Linked DNA regions of Arabidopsis thaliana. The protein of the gene in region 4 purifies or fractionates together with the protein of the main gene of each other region. This does not show direct contact. Each region holds a gene or a part of one and is shown on either strand. Other genes may lie near its edges.

Region 1 (4,449 bases), on a different chromosome or scaffold from region 4:
TTATGGCAGCGACGCTGGTACTTGAAGCCGTTGATGCAACGGAGAGTTTGAGCGACGGAGACGTAGAAGAAGAGGTGAGAGAAGGATAGGAGGCAGATGGGTGCCCAGCAATGGCGGCAGTGAAGACGACCTGAGGGTTGAGAGAGGGAGAAGAAGATTACGGCGAGGAAGATGAAGAAGAGCTGAAATAGCTTGTGGAGCTTCTTCTTCTGGTGGTCAATGGCTCGTTTCTTCTCTAAGGTTTTCTCGAAGTGGAGCTGGATTATTGAGTTTAGTGCTTGTAGAGCAGTTTCTTTGGGGATGAAAGGTTGGTTATTCTGGTCAATTTCGTCGTCGTAGTCCGCCATTGAAGGACTGAGAAGAGAGAAAAAGTGTTATTGGTTAGAGAGATGGTTTGGGGATTGTGTGTAGGAACATGTGGGTGTGGTTCGTATCTCTAGACAAGTATTATCCATCTCAACGGTCTTGTTCTGATTTTTGATGTTTTGTCCGTACTCAATAAATATTTTACTGGGAGTAAAATCAAAACCAGAAAAATGCTTGTGGTTGGTCTCAACTTATGTCTCTGCATAGCACCAATCTAGTTAGAGCCAAAGGAACAATGTATAAACCTCAGGCAATGAGCATTACATTCAGAAGTATAAAGATACAAAAGTCGAGCTACATAATAGAATACACTAGTTCAGTTCCAAGTGACATTGTATCTTCTCCTTGAGTCTTTCACATTTGTTTCCATGAAATCATATTTCAAACGCCCAACATCGTTTCTTCTTTAGGCAAGAGACCATCGCGGCTGAGTTTGTTGGTAAAACAGAGCATCTGAGAAGCATAGAGATGATGTATCAGCCTCTCAGATTCAATTCAAGAGAAGATATAATACGAATTCCTTCGCATCCTAATGCATGCCACTAAGGCACTAACTAAAGTATGTCCCATTGAAATAACAGTTTCTGCAAATCTAAGCTCCACATACAAGGGTACTAGGTCAATTACTCAGGTCAGTGAAACTCTTGATTAATGAAGCAAGAATGTACGTTGTTGTTATAGATTGATCGCGCTTTATGACATTACTCGACAGAAGCCTTATCATACTCTCAAACAGACCAGGACTACTAAGGAAATATAAATCAAGATCTAGCAAATTCTCTAAGATCATAATCTAGGATGTAATAATATAAGAAACATCAACAAATTTTTAGAATTCCTCTAATCGAAATTTCTTAAAACACACAGCAGTTCAGTCAATTTTCTGATCAAAAACTGCAAAAGAAACTACAGACAATAAAATTATACTATGATATGATTAAAAAGCCTTACAAGAAGAGATGATCACCTTTCTATCTATGAATATTGAGCATGGATTTAGCCTCAGTCTGCTGCTCAACCAAATCTTCACTAGCATACTTACTAAGCAGATCCATCTTCTTCTTCTCCAACACCATCTTCTCAATCTCCTTCTCATCAGGCAACGGAACATGAACCACAAATTCCCTCTCTTTCTCCTCCTCTTTCTCCCTCTCCATCCTCTCCTCCTCAACAACATCCTCCTCCTCCTCAAACAACACTTCCCTCGCCGCAGCAGCTGCAGCTCCAACACTCACAACCTCACTAGCACCTTTCCTAGCTTCCTTCCTAACCTCATCTAATCTCCGCCACTCCTCCACCGATCTTTTCCTCATCCCTCCTTCAGATTTCCTCTCCAACTTCTCCAAAATACCATCTTCATCATCTCTATACCCATAATAGCTAGCATCAATCCTTTTATATATATCATACCTAGTTTTACGCTTCCTCAGCTCAGGAGGCTTCTCAAAAAGCTCTCTAACACCAGGAAGTTTCTTAGCAGCTCCGAAGTAACGATAACCAGGACCACGACCACTAGGGTTAGGTACATCGATTATGTTACCTTCTAGATCCGTCATCTTCGCCGAATGTTTCGAGTAATTGTGACCACCTAGCTCAACGATTCGCCGCTCCCAATGATATCTCTCCCTGAGAAGCTTGTTAATCTCATCGTTTAGATCTCGAAGTCTGTGCTCTCCTAATCCTTCGTTCTGAATCTCAGCTACTTTGCTACCGATCTCTCTCAAAATTTGCTGTCTCCATTTGTCTGCTTCAGCTAGATCTCTACATTCTGATGCGAGGTAAGGTCGACGCTCTTTTGGCTTCTTCTTCTCAGATTCTTTCTGGGTGATGAATCTGTTGAGCATCGACTGTGCTTTCTCTTCATTACGAGCCATCTTGGGTCTTCGGAGGTTACGATTACACTAGCAAATCTCAAAGGAAAGCAGAATCTAACAGAAGAAGAGATCGAGATACTTCTCTAGCTTTTTTTTCTTACTTAAACCCTAATTTGCAGGATAACGAGAAGGAGAGACGCGGAAGAGAGAAACTGAGAAAGGATTGGGGTTAAATTGGTAATTAGATAATTGTTTCGCCGGAAAAAGAAAAATAAAAATTGTTTCAAGTTCTACGTCCTTTTCCAAAGCTAAGGCCCAATTTATTAGCCCATATATGCTATATAAGCATCAACTAGATAGGACAATATTTTAGGGCCCAAGGAAGACTCGTTTCGAGTATTGATTAATTCTTCAACGAGTTGACTTTTTGGAATCAAGATGTATAAACCAAATGTGCAGGACAATTTGAAATTAATTTGTTATATTTTGCATCATGTAAAAGGATTAATAAGCGAAAAGAGTAACGAATAGATACACCTCGTAATTGTTTTGGTGTAAAACTTGAAACAGTAGAATTGACGATTGGGGTTATATAAAATGGTGCGATCTTAAAATATCTGACTTTGTGCTAGTTTAAGTTCATTTGTGAATGGAAGACATGTAACGCTTTAACTATTCAGAATATCAGTTCCAAGTGAAGATGGAGGTAGCAAAAGTAAGACTAATAACCAAATCAATAAAAATCTTATACAATACTTATATTAACATTGCAAAGAGTTTCAAGGTTTTTCTTCTGAGTTTTGAAAGAAATTATAGGGAACAAAAGGAATAAAGAGGCATCAATTCGATCACTCAGAGCTACAAAACAATGGGACTAAAACGCAAAACGAAAGCGGTTTTTTTTTTTGAAACGCAGACGTAAGTAAAAACCCAGAGAGTTTGTCACACACAAGTGCATCATAGAAACGAAAACAAAAAGGGAAATGAAACAAACAAATGGAGAAGCAAATATAAAAGAAAAAAAGAAACTTTGATCCCATTCATAAAACCCCAGCTTTTTAAGCCTTTGATCTTGAGAGCTTAGAAACATTTTCTGTGAACGATTCCTGGACCTGCCTCATCATACTCGGCCTTGGAGATCCACATCTGTAACCAACATATACATAAATAATCAGCCTTTGATTTCAATTTGCATGTAAGAGAATTCGAAACAAAATCTGATCAATTTTTACCTGCTGGAATGTGCTGAGGGAAGCAAGAATGGAACCACCGATCCAGACACTGTACTTCCTTTCAGGTGGTGCAACGACCTTAATCTTCATGCTGCTTGGTGCAAGTGCTGTGATTTCTTTGCTCATACGGTCAGCGATACCTGAGAACATAGTGGTTCCACCACTGAGCACAATGTTACCGTACAGATCCTTCCTGATATCCACATCACACTTCATGATTGAGTTATAGGTTGTCTCGTGGATTCCAGCAGCTTCCATTCCCACAAACGAGGGCTGGAACAAGACTTCTGGGCATCTGAATCTCTCAGCACCAATCGTGATGACTTGCCCATCGGGTAATTCATAGTTCTTCTCGATGGAAGAGCTGGTCTTTGAGGTTTCCATCTCCTGCTCGTAGTCAACAGCAACAAAGGAGAGCTTCTCCTTGATGTCTCTTACAATTTCCCGCTCTGCTGTTGTGGTGAACATGTAACCTCTCTCTGTAAGGATCTTCATGAGGTAATCAGTAAGGTCACGTCCAGCAAGGTCAAGACGGAGGATGGCATGAGGAAGAGAGAAACCCTCGTAGATTGGCACAGTGTGAGACACACCATCACCAGAATCCAGCACAATACCTGTTCAATGGAAGATAATCAGAGCTCAGTTCAAATAATGATCAATGAGTATAAACAAAAAGCCTAAAATGTACTAACCGGTTGTACGACCACTGGCGTACAAGGAGAGAACAGCTTGGATGGCGACATACATAGCGGGAGAGTTAAAGGTCTCAAACATGATTTGAGTCATCTTCTCTCTGTTGGCCTTTGGGTTAAGAGGAGCCTCGGTAAGAAGAACAGGGTGCTCTTCAGGAGCAATACGAAGCTCATTGTAGAAAGTGTGATGCCAGATCTTTTCCATATCATCCCAGTTGCTAACAACACCATGCTCAATAGGATACTTCAAGGTAAGAATACCTCTCTTGGATTGTGCTTCATCACCAACATATGCATCCTTCTGGTTCATCCCAACCATGACACCATGATGTCTTGGCCTACCAA
Region 2 (4,818 bases), 1.4 Mb from region 4:
CGTTAGCTTCAACAATCTTGGAATCTCCGGTAGTCGTGAAAGAAGTAATGTAGAGTATTATTATACCTGGATTTTTACTTTCTCTGTTGGTTTCTTCAGCTGCAGCAGAATCATAATTGTTACCGGAATCAATACCAGGCTGAATCAGAGCAGTTCGTCTTCGGATAGAAACGTCGTACTCTTCATCATCTCCATCGGAATACATGGTTTCATCTTTCTCAATTCTATTTCCGCAGAAACCTTGCTGGGTTCTGAAATGGCGATCGCCGACGGTTTCGAGCTCCCGGATCTTAGTACCTGAATCTCCCACACGGAAACGCAAAGATTCATCTTCAACGTGGAATACGAACCGAGGATCGATACTGTCGTTAACGGACATTTGCTTTTCCGCCGGAAAATTCAGAAGGCGATCGATAGAGACTGGAAGAGCACAGAGAGAGAGTTTAAAACGACGTCGTCGTAAGTGGGACATGAGTAGCACGCGCGTCGTGATGGTTAATGATTATGAAACCGTATCATTTACCTATAAGCTTTTGGTGGGTCCGATTTACATGGACTCATAAAGTGATATCGCCACGTAGACATAACATATAGGTTTTTATATTTATCTGAATTACCTTAAAAACAACTAATATCAAGAACCGGGTTACATTCAGAATTTCTCGACCACAATTCGTTTACGGTTTAGAGAACATACAGTACAATGCCATTACAGATTCTCCATTTTGTTCTACATTAAAGAGGGATCAGGTAAACTCAAAAAAACCAAAACTATAGTGAGTAGGATCACAGTGTAGTAACCGGTTTAGCTGGGCAAATGAACCAAGTTTCGGTTTGATAAAGATGTCCTCATTTCACAGTTCAGTCCCTGAGGGGTTTCATTCCCAGTGATGCTCTCAGTCTATTCATCTCTGCAATTTCAGGATTTGGATGATCGGTTCCATCTTCCTTCATCTTCTCCTTCTTTTCTTTCTTTTTCTTAGGTTCTTCCCGATCCCGCACATCATCAGTTTCATGTCTCTTACGATCCCTACTCCTGCTTCTACTTCTGCGCCTTGCCCTGTCTCTTCTGTCTCGTTCTCTATCTCTGCCTCTTTCCCTGTCCCTATCTCGCTCTCTATAGTGATCCCTGTCTCTCTCCCTATCCCGGTCTCGACCATGCCCACGTTCTCTTTCATAGTCTCTGTCATGATCTCGATCCATATCATAGTCTCTGTCATAATCACGATCCCTGCCAATCACAGAACCATGGTCAAATTATAATTCATGAAACAATGAGCTCAAGTCTCAACATCAATCATAATGAAAATCTGTAACAAAAAGAAAACATTGATTGAGCTAAAAACTAGATGGGAAGTGCTCTCATGATTAACTGATCTTTTTCAAAGTAACACAATGACAACTACCATATACTGTATCAGGGTAAGGATTGTAATAATGTCTGATCCATAATACTTCTCTCTGAACACTGTCAGTACAGAGAAACCTGGAAGGATCTCTACAAATTTAATTTCGGAAGCTGTATCCAACCGCTGATGGCTTGAGATGCCATAGTGGAAACAGACACTCAAAAGACAGAGTACTAGACATGATGCAAGAGCATTAGCTAGATCAAACAGCTTCCACAATCACAAAGAATTTTTTTTTGAAAAATGTTAACTAGCATAGAAATGTATCTAGTAAAGGTCACGGATTCAGATACCTGTGTCTATGACTGTCGCGTCTCCTGTCTCTGTCTCTTTCTCTTTCTCTTTCAGGACTCTTACGGCGCTGATCCTGTAAAAGAGGAGGAAGATGGTATCATCTTAGAGCTGCTAGATAGAAACAGAAAACAGATCACATAAAAACTATTGCAGAATGAAAGCACTGACCATCTCATCTTCAGATCCATCAGCAATCCCTTCATTCTCCTCCTTTTCTTCCTCTTCTTCAAAGTCGTCTTCCAAAACACTTTTCCTTGGCTCTAATAAACCATTCTGTTCAAGCGTCCACCTATCATCAGAGTGAAAAATTAACCATCTTAAAATACTGCAGAAACCAAAAACTAATTATTCAGCTTCAGACAAATGCAAAAGAAGAAACCTTTTCTTCAAACGTGGCATTGCAATATCACAAGAATAATCCTTGGTTAGAAGTTCCTCAATGACTTCGTCCACATGTGTCAGCGAAAACTCTATTCCAAACCAAAGAAATAAATCTAGTTAGTGAACAAATCAATCAAAAGTTAAACACAACGGATCCATCGAAAGAAAATGAAACTTACTCCCATCAGATAACTTTTGTCTCACTTTCCGGTAGTCATTGTAGAGAGGTTCGAGGTAGCGATAGACATCAACATCAGTCCCAGTGAGACGCAGATAGAACGCACCAAGAATACGAACATATCTGCAGAAACCAAAAGAGTAAATATTTCAGTAATTCAAGAACAAATATCTGCAGAAACTAAGAGAGTAGATTATCTAAGACCAATAGATTTGAGAGACATTCCATACCTGTATACTTGAGAAACAACTACGACAAGGCTAATAGCAGTATCCAATCTAGATTACGCAGAAATAAGCTTTTGGTTAGAAATCTTACTTGTAGTCATCATTTTTTATGAACTCCACGACAATTTCCTTCTCAGGCTGGATTTGAAGCATCTTCAATATGAGGCAAAGGAACGGAGTAGGCTTGCGGCTACCACCAAAGGTACCACCTAGATGGTCGAGCTCCATAGCTTTGTCCACCAATGTCTCCGCCGTGAGACCAAAGCACTGCTCCTTCCAAAAGGTGTGCTGATAAATCTTCGTTCGCACAATCTTCTCTACCAGATTCTGCGGATTCGTTCCTCTTATATTCTTTGCCAACGGATCTGTTCTGTTTGCCATTATCGCCTGAAGTTAATCAGAAACTGCCTCAAAGGCCTAGTCGTCGGAATAATAAACGTCGAGCGACGCCGCTTCAGTGAAGCCGGAATCGATGAAACAGCTTCCACGAATTTGCCGTCGTCGAAGACGAAGACACTCTAGGTCTTTGAAGAATCTGAGAAGTTAATTCATTTATTTTATTTTATTAATGATTGCTTTCGGTGGTAAAGCCCATAGTAAGAACATATTAATGGGCTGCTAATATATCTAGGCCCATTATAGATGGAGATAACGCCGTTAGTTGGAAGTCCGTTAGGACCGTTAGTTACATCAAGCAAAAACCCTATCGAAGAAATTGCAGTGTGTTTTCTTACAGCGAAGAGCCCCAAAGAGAAGAACAAAATTTCGAAAATAGAGAAAGAGAAGAAGTTGACGATGGATTCAAAGGCGAAGCAGATGATTCTTTCAGCTCTCTGCAAACACTTCTCTTTGGATCCTGTAAGTATTGAAGAAGATGACATCTCAAAAGCTTCTGCTTTTTTGTGAGGTTTTGCTTGGTAGCTGAGTATGTGTATGATCATTTTTTGAATTAGTTAGTGGAGAAAACTCGAACATTATCTGATTGGGTACTGAAATCAATTAGAAAGTTTATGTTTTGGACTTATCAGTGTTTACGCTTATGCATCAAGCTGGTCATGAAAAAGGAAAAAACTTTAGAAATTGGCTTTTATGATTTTACATTGTGATGATTTATTGGTTCTGTTTCTGAAATTGATTTGATTCATTTGTTTAGGAACCTTTTGTGGGCGGAGCGGGTGAAAGTGATATCAAGACACTTTATTCTAATGTATTGAAGGCATCTGGAAAGGAAGTATCTGCACAAAACAACGATGTAAGTCGTTTCTTCTTGAATTTGGTTCCTATAGACATAAACGCCAAACTCTTACTGGGAATTTATTGAGTTCCCTTCTCGTTGCTACCACGTTAGAAAAAAAATGAATTAGTATGTTTGAGTTCTGTGTAATGCTAAATGATGAGGATTCGTTGGCTTTCGTTTGCATAATGCGTCATTGTTTCACATTTTAAAGAGTAAAAACCTATTTCAGGTTTTGAAGTGGCTAGATTTTGCGGAAGGTTTCTCTTCAGATTCAAAGGATTGGTTTTCAGCTCTTGAAAAGTTGAATTTAGAGTTAGCTACCAAGTCAGTGCTCTTGGGAAACGGATTGACGCCATCGGCAGCTGATGTTGCTGTGTTTTCAGCTCTGCATTCTTCAGTGGTACCACTTCTCTATATTCCGTAGTCTACTTATTTTTCGTTCCTGTATAAGTAATTTTATGTTACTTGATAAAGATGCTACGATCAAATTTTCATAAACTGATGACTAAAGGTATTAAATACTAACTGTTATCTGTTTGACTTGCTGTTCCCAGCTTGGCCTCTCAGATTCAGACAAGGAGAAAGTACCACATGTCATAAGATGGGTGAATTACATCCAGGTAAGTTCGACATCATAAAGTTTTGTTACTTGATTGCGCCGAGGTAGCCTGTAAATCCATGGAGGACTACTTTATGTGTACGCGTAACGGCGTTAGTGACTATAGCTAGATATGCACTCTCTGAACATCACCTTTCACATTTTTCTTTCCTTGTGATTGTCTGCTTTACGAATATATGCTGCGTATTATTTTACAGAATAAAGAAGAGTTGTCGACATTATTTGCACCAATACCTGTGAAGCTACCAGAATTTAGCTTCGAGGTGAATTATCTTTTCATACCCATTTTCTTAGACTGAGAAACAATAATAACATGCTACTTTTTTCAGATGTATTACATGCGATGAGAAAATGGTTTTCTGATCTTTTTCATTTATTCTAAACGTAGGTACCAAAACCTGCCATTAAGGTGGAAACAAATTCTAATTCAAAAAAAGCTGCAGAAGGTGTAAAGCCTGTTGACAAGCCAGATG
Region 3 (3,475 bases), on a different chromosome or scaffold from region 4:
AATAGCAAATAGTGCAAAAATTTTATTCTTTGGAACATATTTGAATAATGTGATTATTTTCAGCTAATTATCGTCTTCTCTTTGTCATAAACACAAAACAATGTATTTATCAATTATGTCTAAGGAAACATAAATTGATGAACAAGCAGAGTTTCACTTTCTGTCTACAAATTTGAAATTACACTTCCACAAAATCATATTATCGATAACAAACTTTTAAAATCACATTGAAAATCTCAAATCACAATGAATGATTCTTCAATGTAACGTTGTGTTAGTTCCACGTTCGATAAAACAAACCAAAATATAAATACTAGAATTCAACTCAAAATGTATGTGTATTCTACCTTTTGTTTTTGCAAAACTCAACTTCTTAAAACTCATACTAGTTAGAAGACAAATCACAGTGAGAATCAGAGAAAAATAATAATTTTAAAGCCTCATGAATGTGTATGAATTTTAACAATCACAAACTAAGTAAAGAGTATCAGCTTCCTAATTAGATAGCAGTATCAGCTTTTTACTTCCTAGGCAAGCGATATCCACCAAAAACACAAGCATGCTTTTCCTCACAAGAGTCAAGATGCAATATCTCTGTTGGTCTCAACTCTTCCATTTGTAACTTCTCCACTTCCATCTGATACACAGTTTCTGCTGCAATTGTTGAGTCTATAGAATTCGCCTGAAACAAGTAACTTAGAGTTAACCAAACAATGCACACTAAAAAGAGAATGATTTTGATTTGAATCAATGGTCAAAAAAGTTTTGTTACAAACCTTTATAGAGATCATAAAGTGCCCTCCAGATTTGAGGAAATAAGAAGCATTGAGACTTAATATGTTAGCTTGCTCAGGGTGATTAACATCAGAGAATATGATATCAACCATTCCCACAAGCATTCTATATTTAGCAGGATGTCTAGCATCTTCAATGATTGGTATAACATTAGTTCTCTTCTCCGCCATGTTCATCAAAACTTTACCACAAATATCAGAATGCTCAACAGCGTAAACACATCCCTCCTACCAATCAGAAAAGCTAGATATAAGTAACATAGAGAGAAAACACTCACTCAATCTTAAAAGTTAGGGTTTAAGGTTTAGTGTTCACTTACTGGACCAACAATGTCAGAGACATGAGACACGGTGTATCCAGAAGAAGCACCAAGGTACAGAACTTTAACACCAGGTTTCTACAATTTCAAGAAACAAGTATTCATTAGTTTCGGTAACAGAAGAATAAAAGAGATTGTTACTTTAAGTTATGGGACTTACGATCCAAATGTTATCAACACCAGTGGTAATAGCATCAGCTAACTTAGATCTATGAGGGTTCCAAACTCTGTATTCAACAGTAGATCGGTCTTCGTTCTGAACAAAGATTCTCTTCTCATTGTAAATGATTTCACCAGGAACTAAGTTCTTGGTTACAAGAGCATCTGCTTTACTTTTGGCAACAAACACTCCTGCGTGCCTGTGTGGTGTCACTAACACTTTGCTTCCTCCCTTAATTCCACCGTCCGATTCACTTTTAACTCTTCCAGGCCCTCTTCCACGGCCACTTTCGCCGCCTCTTCCACTGCCTCTTACGGCACTTCCTTCACCGCCTCTGGCTAAACCTCTTCCACCTCTAACACCACCACCACGTCCTGAGCATAATCATACAGATAAAACCGAAATTAACTAATCAGAAGAGAGTATTATTAAATCTCCTATTAAACTTGGATTGAAGAAGTGAAGACTCAAAACAGTTTACGTAACAAGCAATTCAGGTAGATATATTGTGACAAAACGAATTTGGAGTTAACAACCCTCAACCCTATACTATAGGTCGAACAGAGAAATTAAACAAGTAGTAAAACAAAACGGCTGCTAGGGTTCTAACCTCTTTGGGGAGGTTTCATCTTTGCTATAGAGCGAGAGCGAAAGCAACAAAGAGAAGGTTGATGTTAATCGATGTTTGCAGCTTTCGTGTTTGGTTTTTTTATTTTTTAGTTTTTATCGAGCCCCTGCTAGGGTTTAAGAATGTTTATCTATTGGAATTTGGAGTTGGTATAGGAAAGCTGGAAAGGTTCCATTTATTTTTCCGATAAATATGGAAAAGTTTTTATTTATTACATTTAACAAATTCTGTTAAACAGTTTACTTCTTGTAGGAAGATTTCAGATCCTATCGAACTCTTTTTATCGAATCACCACCATCAGATTTCTTGTTATGCAAGGAATACATGATTTTGAAATACAAAAGGTCAGAATATTAGGAGCTTAAGGCCCAATAATTAATTCAGGTAATGGGCTTATTAGACATGAATTGTTTTCGTAAACTTAGTGCCATAAGGACTAGATTGTAAAATTTTGCATCTTATTGTTATAACTTTATATTGCAGATCAAGTAATCAGAGATGCCTTCTGACTTTAAAGTCCAAAACAATCATTAGTTTAAACAAAACAAGAAGAGGAAAAAAAATCACACGAAGTTGGACAAAAAACTCATAAAATTGATTTTTTTTTCATTAGTTAATAAACAATTAAGGCCTTGAATGATTGTAAATTCTAAAATGGTGTCTAGTTTGCATAAATAGATTTTTTTTTTTTGCTTTTCATTAATTAATAAAAAATTAAAAATTTAGATTTCTTAGCTTTTCAGGAAACTTTTTTATGCAAACTAGAAACCATTTTAGAATCTACTACCATTCAAGGCCTAAAACTAAAACCAAAAACTACTTAGAATCTACAAATAATCAAAGAAGGCCTAAAACTAAATGACTTTCTGATATATATATTTCACAGATTTGACATTTTGATCCTCATCAGAAATGGATCCGCTGTCTTCACTGATGAAAAACGAAGAGCCAAAAAACTGGGCGGATCTTCCGACGGATTTGATGTGTTTGATTCTGCTACGTCTTAGCGTGACTGAGATACTGGAGAACGCTCAGAAAGTGTGTAGATCGTGACGATATGTTTGTAAAGACCCATCCATATGGCGTAAAATCGACATGCGAATCTTGAGTTACAACAAACCAGTACTGGTGAACAATCCTGAGGCGATATGTCGTAACGCCGTTGATCGTAGCGAGGGTGGCTTGCTGGAGATCAACATTGGGGACTTCGGGAGTGATTCTCTCCTTACATACATCGCGGAGAGGTTCTCCTCTAATTCTAGTTTTGACTTTTGATTACTTTTCATGTAAGTCTTCAAGTGTCTGTTAAAAACAGATATCTCAAGATTATGATTTATAACTTTTTACACACCATTACTTGTAGGTCAAGTAATCTTAGAAGCCTTAGACTAATGTGCTCAGAAATAACAGACGATGGATTTGTTCAAGCAGTTGTGAAACTTCCAATGCTTGAAGAGCTTGAGGTTTCAGGAATATCATTGTCAGGAGAGTCTATGAAACTTGCAGGGCTGTCTTGTCCAAATCTGAAGACATTGATGCTAAACCGCCTCTTTTACTTAAGTTCGGATGATGA
Region 4 (4,758 bases):
TAATAAAACCTAATATAGTACCAACTATAAAACATGTTGTTGAAAATATATCAAGACTTTTTTCAATATAATATATACTAATTTGCGATTTCCTCATGTTATATAGGTTGACTATATACTTGGGTCGAACCCCCAGAAAATGAGCTACATGGTTGGAGTTGGGACCAATTATCCCAAAAAACCACACCATAGAGCAGCCTCCATAGTATCGATCAGAAAGGACAAAACACCAGTGACGTGTAGTGGAGGGTATGATAAATGGTATAACAATCCTGCACCAAACCCTAACGTTTTAATGGGAGCACTTGTCGGAGGACCCAACGAGAACGATGTTTATGGAGATGAGAGGAGTAATTTCCAGCAAGCTGAGCCTGCGACGGTTACTGTTGCTCCGTTTGTTGGTGTCTTGGCCGCCGTTTTTTAATTTTGTCTCTCCTCGTTTTGCAAATTTGAGTATGTTTGCTTTATATCTTATATAAGTCATAGGTTTAAGGTCTAAATGTAACTTGGCTTTAAATAAAATAAAATAAAATCCAGATATTTCACAAATAAATAATCTTCAACGGTAAACTATCTACATGATTGGATCCAAATTGACGAAAAAAAAAATATTGTATTCTTAAAAAGTTTGAAAACGTGGTTCCATTAAATCTTCTTCTCTACAAAAGTGTTCCCTTCTTGACAATCACACTCAAGTCTAACATTTTTACAGCGGAAAAGAGTTTGTACATTATCAGAAATTCATACTACTGAGAGGCTATAAGTACATTCTTTACCCTTTTTCCATCACTCAATCAATCCCCAACGTCGAAAATGGCTCAATGGCTCCCTGAGAATATCAAAAAACTTTATTAGACACAGAAGTTCTCTTCAAGCGAAAATTGCAAGTAGTGTTTATGTTTTACTCACCGAGCAATCATCATGAACACGCCATATGGTCTCCCCAAGAAGGTTTGCTACTGAGAGAACTGTAAGCTGAGGAAAATAGTTCTTCTCTGACAATGGAATCGTGTTGGTTATGATCACCTCTTGAAACAGTCCGCTCGATAGTCGACTGATTGCAGGAGGGCTGTTTCCGAATATAGACACAAATGCATATGTCAGCTTCTTTCTCTTTTTTTATAATTCCAACACAGAGAAAATATTTCATGGACTTACCTAAAAACGGCATGAGTGGTACAAGCGTATACTTCTCTTGCTCCTTCTTGGTGTAACAGAGCCGCACCTTTGCTTATGGTTCCTGATATGATATACCTAACGTAAGTATCTAAGCACAATGGGGAATGTTTACAGATATGCAGACCGTGACTTATTACTCACCTGCTGTGTCAATCATGTCATCCACCATTATGGCTACTTTCCCTTTAACATCCCCAATTAAGTTCATCACCTACATGAAACGGGTTGTTAAATGTCAAAATCCAGACTTGGTTAAAATGTATTTTCCAAAGGTTTTTCTACCTCTGCAACATTGTGCCCATGACGTCTTTTATCAACTATTGCTAAAGGTGCATCAGATAACTTCTTCGCAAAAGCGCGAGCTCTTGCGACGCCACCAACATCAGGTGAAACTACCACCAAATCTTCAGAGGATATGGCCTTACTTGCTAGGTAATCAAGTATGACAGGCTGTTCATGAATATTAAAGCACAAGGAAAAGAAGACATAAGAAAGTCTATTTTCACAAAAAGGAACTTGATGCTCAGAGGAGTCATTTAAGAAAAACTTTTTTCTACCTGGCCATAAACATGATCGACTGGAATATCAAAGTAGCCCATAGACTGTCCGGAGTGAAGATCACAAGCAAGGACACGGTCTGCACCAGACTGTGTAATCAAATTGGCCACAAGCTTGGCTGCAATAGATTCACGTCCTTGAGTCTGCAAGAATATGTACAACGAAAGAGTCAAATGAAAAACTCTCAACTAGAAACTAAGTGAAGCCAGAGGAATGAGACAATCGATAAACCCAAATCAGCTTCATACAGATAACTAAGCTGCCAATTTGATTACTTGATTACTTCCAAATACTAACTACCATAGATCTGACTTAAACTGACAATCGATTACTCTTGGAGACAAATCATTGTGCATGTTTTCACAGGACGATTGAATCCAAGACAGATTCTATAGTTATAGAAAAAGACTTGCCTTTCTATCAGCTCGTGCATAACCAAAGTAAGGAATCACAGCCGTGATAGTTTTGGCTGATGCTCTCCGACAAGCATCAATCATAACGAGCAATTCCATAAGGTTTTCATTTGCAGGTGGGCATGTAGGCTGTACAAGGAACACATCACATCCCCTTACACTCTCTTGTAGCTGAACATAGATCTCACCATCAGCAAAGCGTTTAATCTTGATTTTCCCAAGGTCCAGACCCAAATAGCAAGAAATCTCCTGTATCATCAGCGTAAAACACCAATGAACAAACAAGACGATTCCAGAATATACTCTAAACCAATTTCTTCCTAATCCTAATCTTTGCAATTGAACAAATCTCCAGTTTTAAGCTACTAATTCCGAAGTCTATATCAGTTTCTTCCTAAACTAATTTCAGTTCCAAGCTACTAATTCTTGCAATTAAATCCAAAGAACTCCAACGACTAACAAAGCTAAGAACGAACCTGAGCCAAAATAGGATTAGCAGTGCCGGAAAAGATACGAAGTCGTGTGGTGTTCTGATAAATCGAATCTTCCAAACGTGTCCTCGAAAAGCTAGCCGGAACGGTGTCGCCAGTAAGCAGATGGAAACCGGCAGAGTTTCCGCCGTCGAACTTGTACGGATCCGCCGCGTTACACTTCTTTTCAATTCCACAACCAACAGAAACAATCGAGAACAAGATTCATCAGATTCGAGCGAAGAAGACCGTATAAAGTACAAATACCAATAGAAAGATAATAGTCGGAGAGAGTGAGAGAAGTAGATGAGACTTACAAGAGGAAATCGAACGGAAGAAGGCGGACGAATCAGAGAAGAACGCCGGAGATTTAGCGCCGGGAAAGTAGGCGATGGTTGAACAATAGACGCCATGTTCGAGAAATGGATCCGGAGAGAGAGATTTTAGGGTTTTGAGAAAAAGCAGTCTTTTCTTCTTCTTCCCCGCGAGATACGAATTTGACTACAAGAAAATGACTCTCTCTTCTTCTTCTTCCTTTATATACTCAAAAACTCATTTCTAAGTTTTTAACTAACCGTAACGATTTCCGTTAAAAATATAACTGTAATTCAGATTCTTTAAATCTCATTCATTGATACAACATAGTCTCTGGAGATATTATATCTTTGGAAGGATGAGAAATGCGAGATAAAGTCGCACCATGTTACAACGTTTGTTATATAGCTCAAACGCAATAAAAACTCCGATGAAATTCGGTTTATTTTCGGAAGGTCTCAAAAACCATTTACAGTTTAGAAAGCCAGAGCTCGAGTTGTTAGTTTTCTTTAGGATGTAACTCCATATGGAAGCAATGCCGCAGCAACGACTCTTCCTTCTTCATTCAGAATGTTGTACGTTGATGCAGCATTTCTCTGAATTAAAAGTAATCAATATAATAAGCGAATAAGAAGTTATGAAGTAAGCTTGGGACTAGAAAAGAAGCCTGTAGAAATGGATTAAGAAACTTACAGAATCAACTGTTTCTAGTTTCATGCCAAGGGACTTGACAAACTGACGGACCTCGGGAGTTACCGGGTGAATGTCTCTTCCACAACCAACAATCAAGAGCTCTGGACAATTCGATGATTTAGTTTAGAATATCTAATAAGAGCTGAGATTGAAGCTAATATGCAGCAAAAGTTAATCAACCAGAGGTACTAATACAGTTTTATTTTCATACTGATGACTCATGGGTACACAAATATTATTACCTGGAATAGGTCGAACTGTCTGGAAGATAGACAAGCTGCATCCATGGAAATAGAAATATACAAACGTTTAGCCATTGCTCTCAATGACAAAAAAAAAAAAGAACACTTGTCGAAAATAAACCAAATGTTTTATCAAACACTTCAAATTGATAAAGCTGTCAAATCCTCTCATGACAATGAACATTGAAAACCTTCAACCAATCTATTGCCAAAAGCACACAACTTTCACTCAAACACAGTCATAAAAATCAGCTCAAATCGATATAAGGTTGTGACAGAACATTGGTGAGAATCAAAGGCCTGAGAAGAGAGAAGATACCTATCAGTGGTGATCTCTGAAAATTTACGAGGACTCCATGACATTAACAGATTCCCAACACAGAGTAAGCTACCTTCGTATTTGACTCCATTCACAGTGAAACTCGTATCATTAAATCTGCAAAGTAAGTGAAGAGAATCAATCAACCACCACATATTTATACATTTCCAATTCCAAAAACCCTAATCATTCATTAAATCAAACCCAGAAACACAGTCGGTAAAAAACAAAATCAACGACGAAAAACAATAGAGAAAGCTTGGAATTGATTACTCTTGGAAGCGAAGCTGGTCTTCAGGAACATTGTCAATGAGATTGATCTGATCATAGAGGGAAAAAGCTCGTCTCAGAGAGGGCAAAACAGGATTAGAATGCTTCGGAACTTCTTTTCTCATACTTTGAATCAATTTCGGCAAAGTCGCCATTGATTTCAACCTCATCGCCATCTTCGTGGCAGCTCAAAGTCCTCAATCGTGATTTTCCGATTTCCGCAGCCGTCGAGACTCGAGACCTTTAACCAACCCGGTTTAATCGTTTAACTCTACACCATCATCGGTTATCGGATTTCA

What was found.
Region 1: the proteins of AT2G44530 (region 4) and AT3G18790 fractionate together in Arabidopsis thaliana (co-fractionation; one large-scale study listed by BioGRID). This does not show direct contact.
Region 2: the proteins of AT2G44530 (region 4) and AT2G40650 fractionate together in Arabidopsis thaliana (co-fractionation; one large-scale study listed by BioGRID). This does not show direct contact.
Region 3: the proteins of AT2G44530 (region 4) and AT5G52490 fractionate together in Arabidopsis thaliana (co-fractionation; one large-scale study listed by BioGRID). This does not show direct contact.

What each region holds. Positions count from the first base shown.
Region 1 is NC_003074.8:6,475,644-6,480,092, reverse strand, and holds AT3G18790 (pre-mRNA-splicing factor ISY1-like protein), read right to left. Parts: upstream 2,433-4,449; 5' UTR 2,241-2,432; coding exon 1,338-2,240; 3' UTR 1,334-1,337; intron 820-1,333; 3' UTR 511-819; downstream 1-510. Other genes in the region: AT3G18800 (uncharacterized protein), read right to left, coding at 1-347; ACT2 (actin 2), read right to left, coding at 3,261-3,326, 3,413-4,026, 4,105-4,449.
Region 2 is NC_003071.7:16,962,727-16,967,544, forward strand, and holds AT2G40650 (PRP38 family protein), read right to left. Parts: upstream 3,073-4,818; 5' UTR 2,871-3,072; coding exon 2,581-2,870; intron 2,386-2,580; coding exon 2,264-2,385; intron 2,174-2,263; coding exon 2,083-2,173; intron 1,993-2,082; coding exon 1,872-1,992; intron 1,777-1,871; coding exon 1,703-1,776; intron 1,232-1,702; coding exon 862-1,231; 3' UTR 560-861; downstream 1-559. Other genes in the region: AT2G40640 (RING/U-box superfamily protein), read right to left, coding at 67-472; AT2G40660 (Nucleic acid-binding, OB-fold-like protein), read left to right, coding at 3,285-3,347, 3,643-3,741, 3,956-4,126, 4,281-4,346, 4,543-4,608, 4,734-4,818. UniProt on the Arabidopsis thaliana protein: Probably required for the first pre-mRNA cleavage reaction catalyzed by the spliceosome.
Region 3 is NC_003076.8:21,297,285-21,300,759, reverse strand, and holds AT5G52490 (Fibrillarin family protein), read right to left. Parts: upstream 1,904-3,475; coding exon 1,885-1,903; intron 1,649-1,884; coding exon 1,275-1,648; intron 1,193-1,274; coding exon 1,115-1,192; intron 1,023-1,114; coding exon 777-1,022; intron 683-776; coding exon 521-682; downstream 1-520. Other genes in the region: AT5G52480 (RNI-like superfamily protein), read left to right, coding at 2,998-3,146, 3,266-3,475. UniProt on the Arabidopsis thaliana protein: S-adenosyl-L-methionine-dependent methyltransferase that has the ability to methylate both RNAs and proteins. Involved in pre-rRNA processing.
Region 4 is NC_003071.7:18,382,007-18,386,764, reverse strand, and holds AT2G44530 (Phosphoribosyltransferase family protein), read right to left. Parts: upstream 3,251-4,758; 5' UTR 3,034-3,250; coding exon 2,938-3,033; intron 2,804-2,937; coding exon 2,627-2,803; intron 2,400-2,626; coding exon 2,151-2,399; intron 1,881-2,150; coding exon 1,737-1,880; intron 1,630-1,736; coding exon 1,462-1,629; intron 1,391-1,461; coding exon 1,321-1,390; intron 1,241-1,320; coding exon 1,159-1,240; intron 1,070-1,158; coding exon 910-1,069; intron 830-909; coding exon 791-829; 3' UTR 557-790; downstream 1-556. Other genes in the region: GH9B9 (glycosyl hydrolase 9B9), read left to right, coding at 107-424; AT2G44525 (NADH dehydrogenase ubiquinone 1 alpha subcomplex assembly factor-like protein (DUF498/DUF598)), read right to left, coding at 3,445-3,531, 3,629-3,729, 3,871-3,905, 4,190-4,306, 4,463-4,635.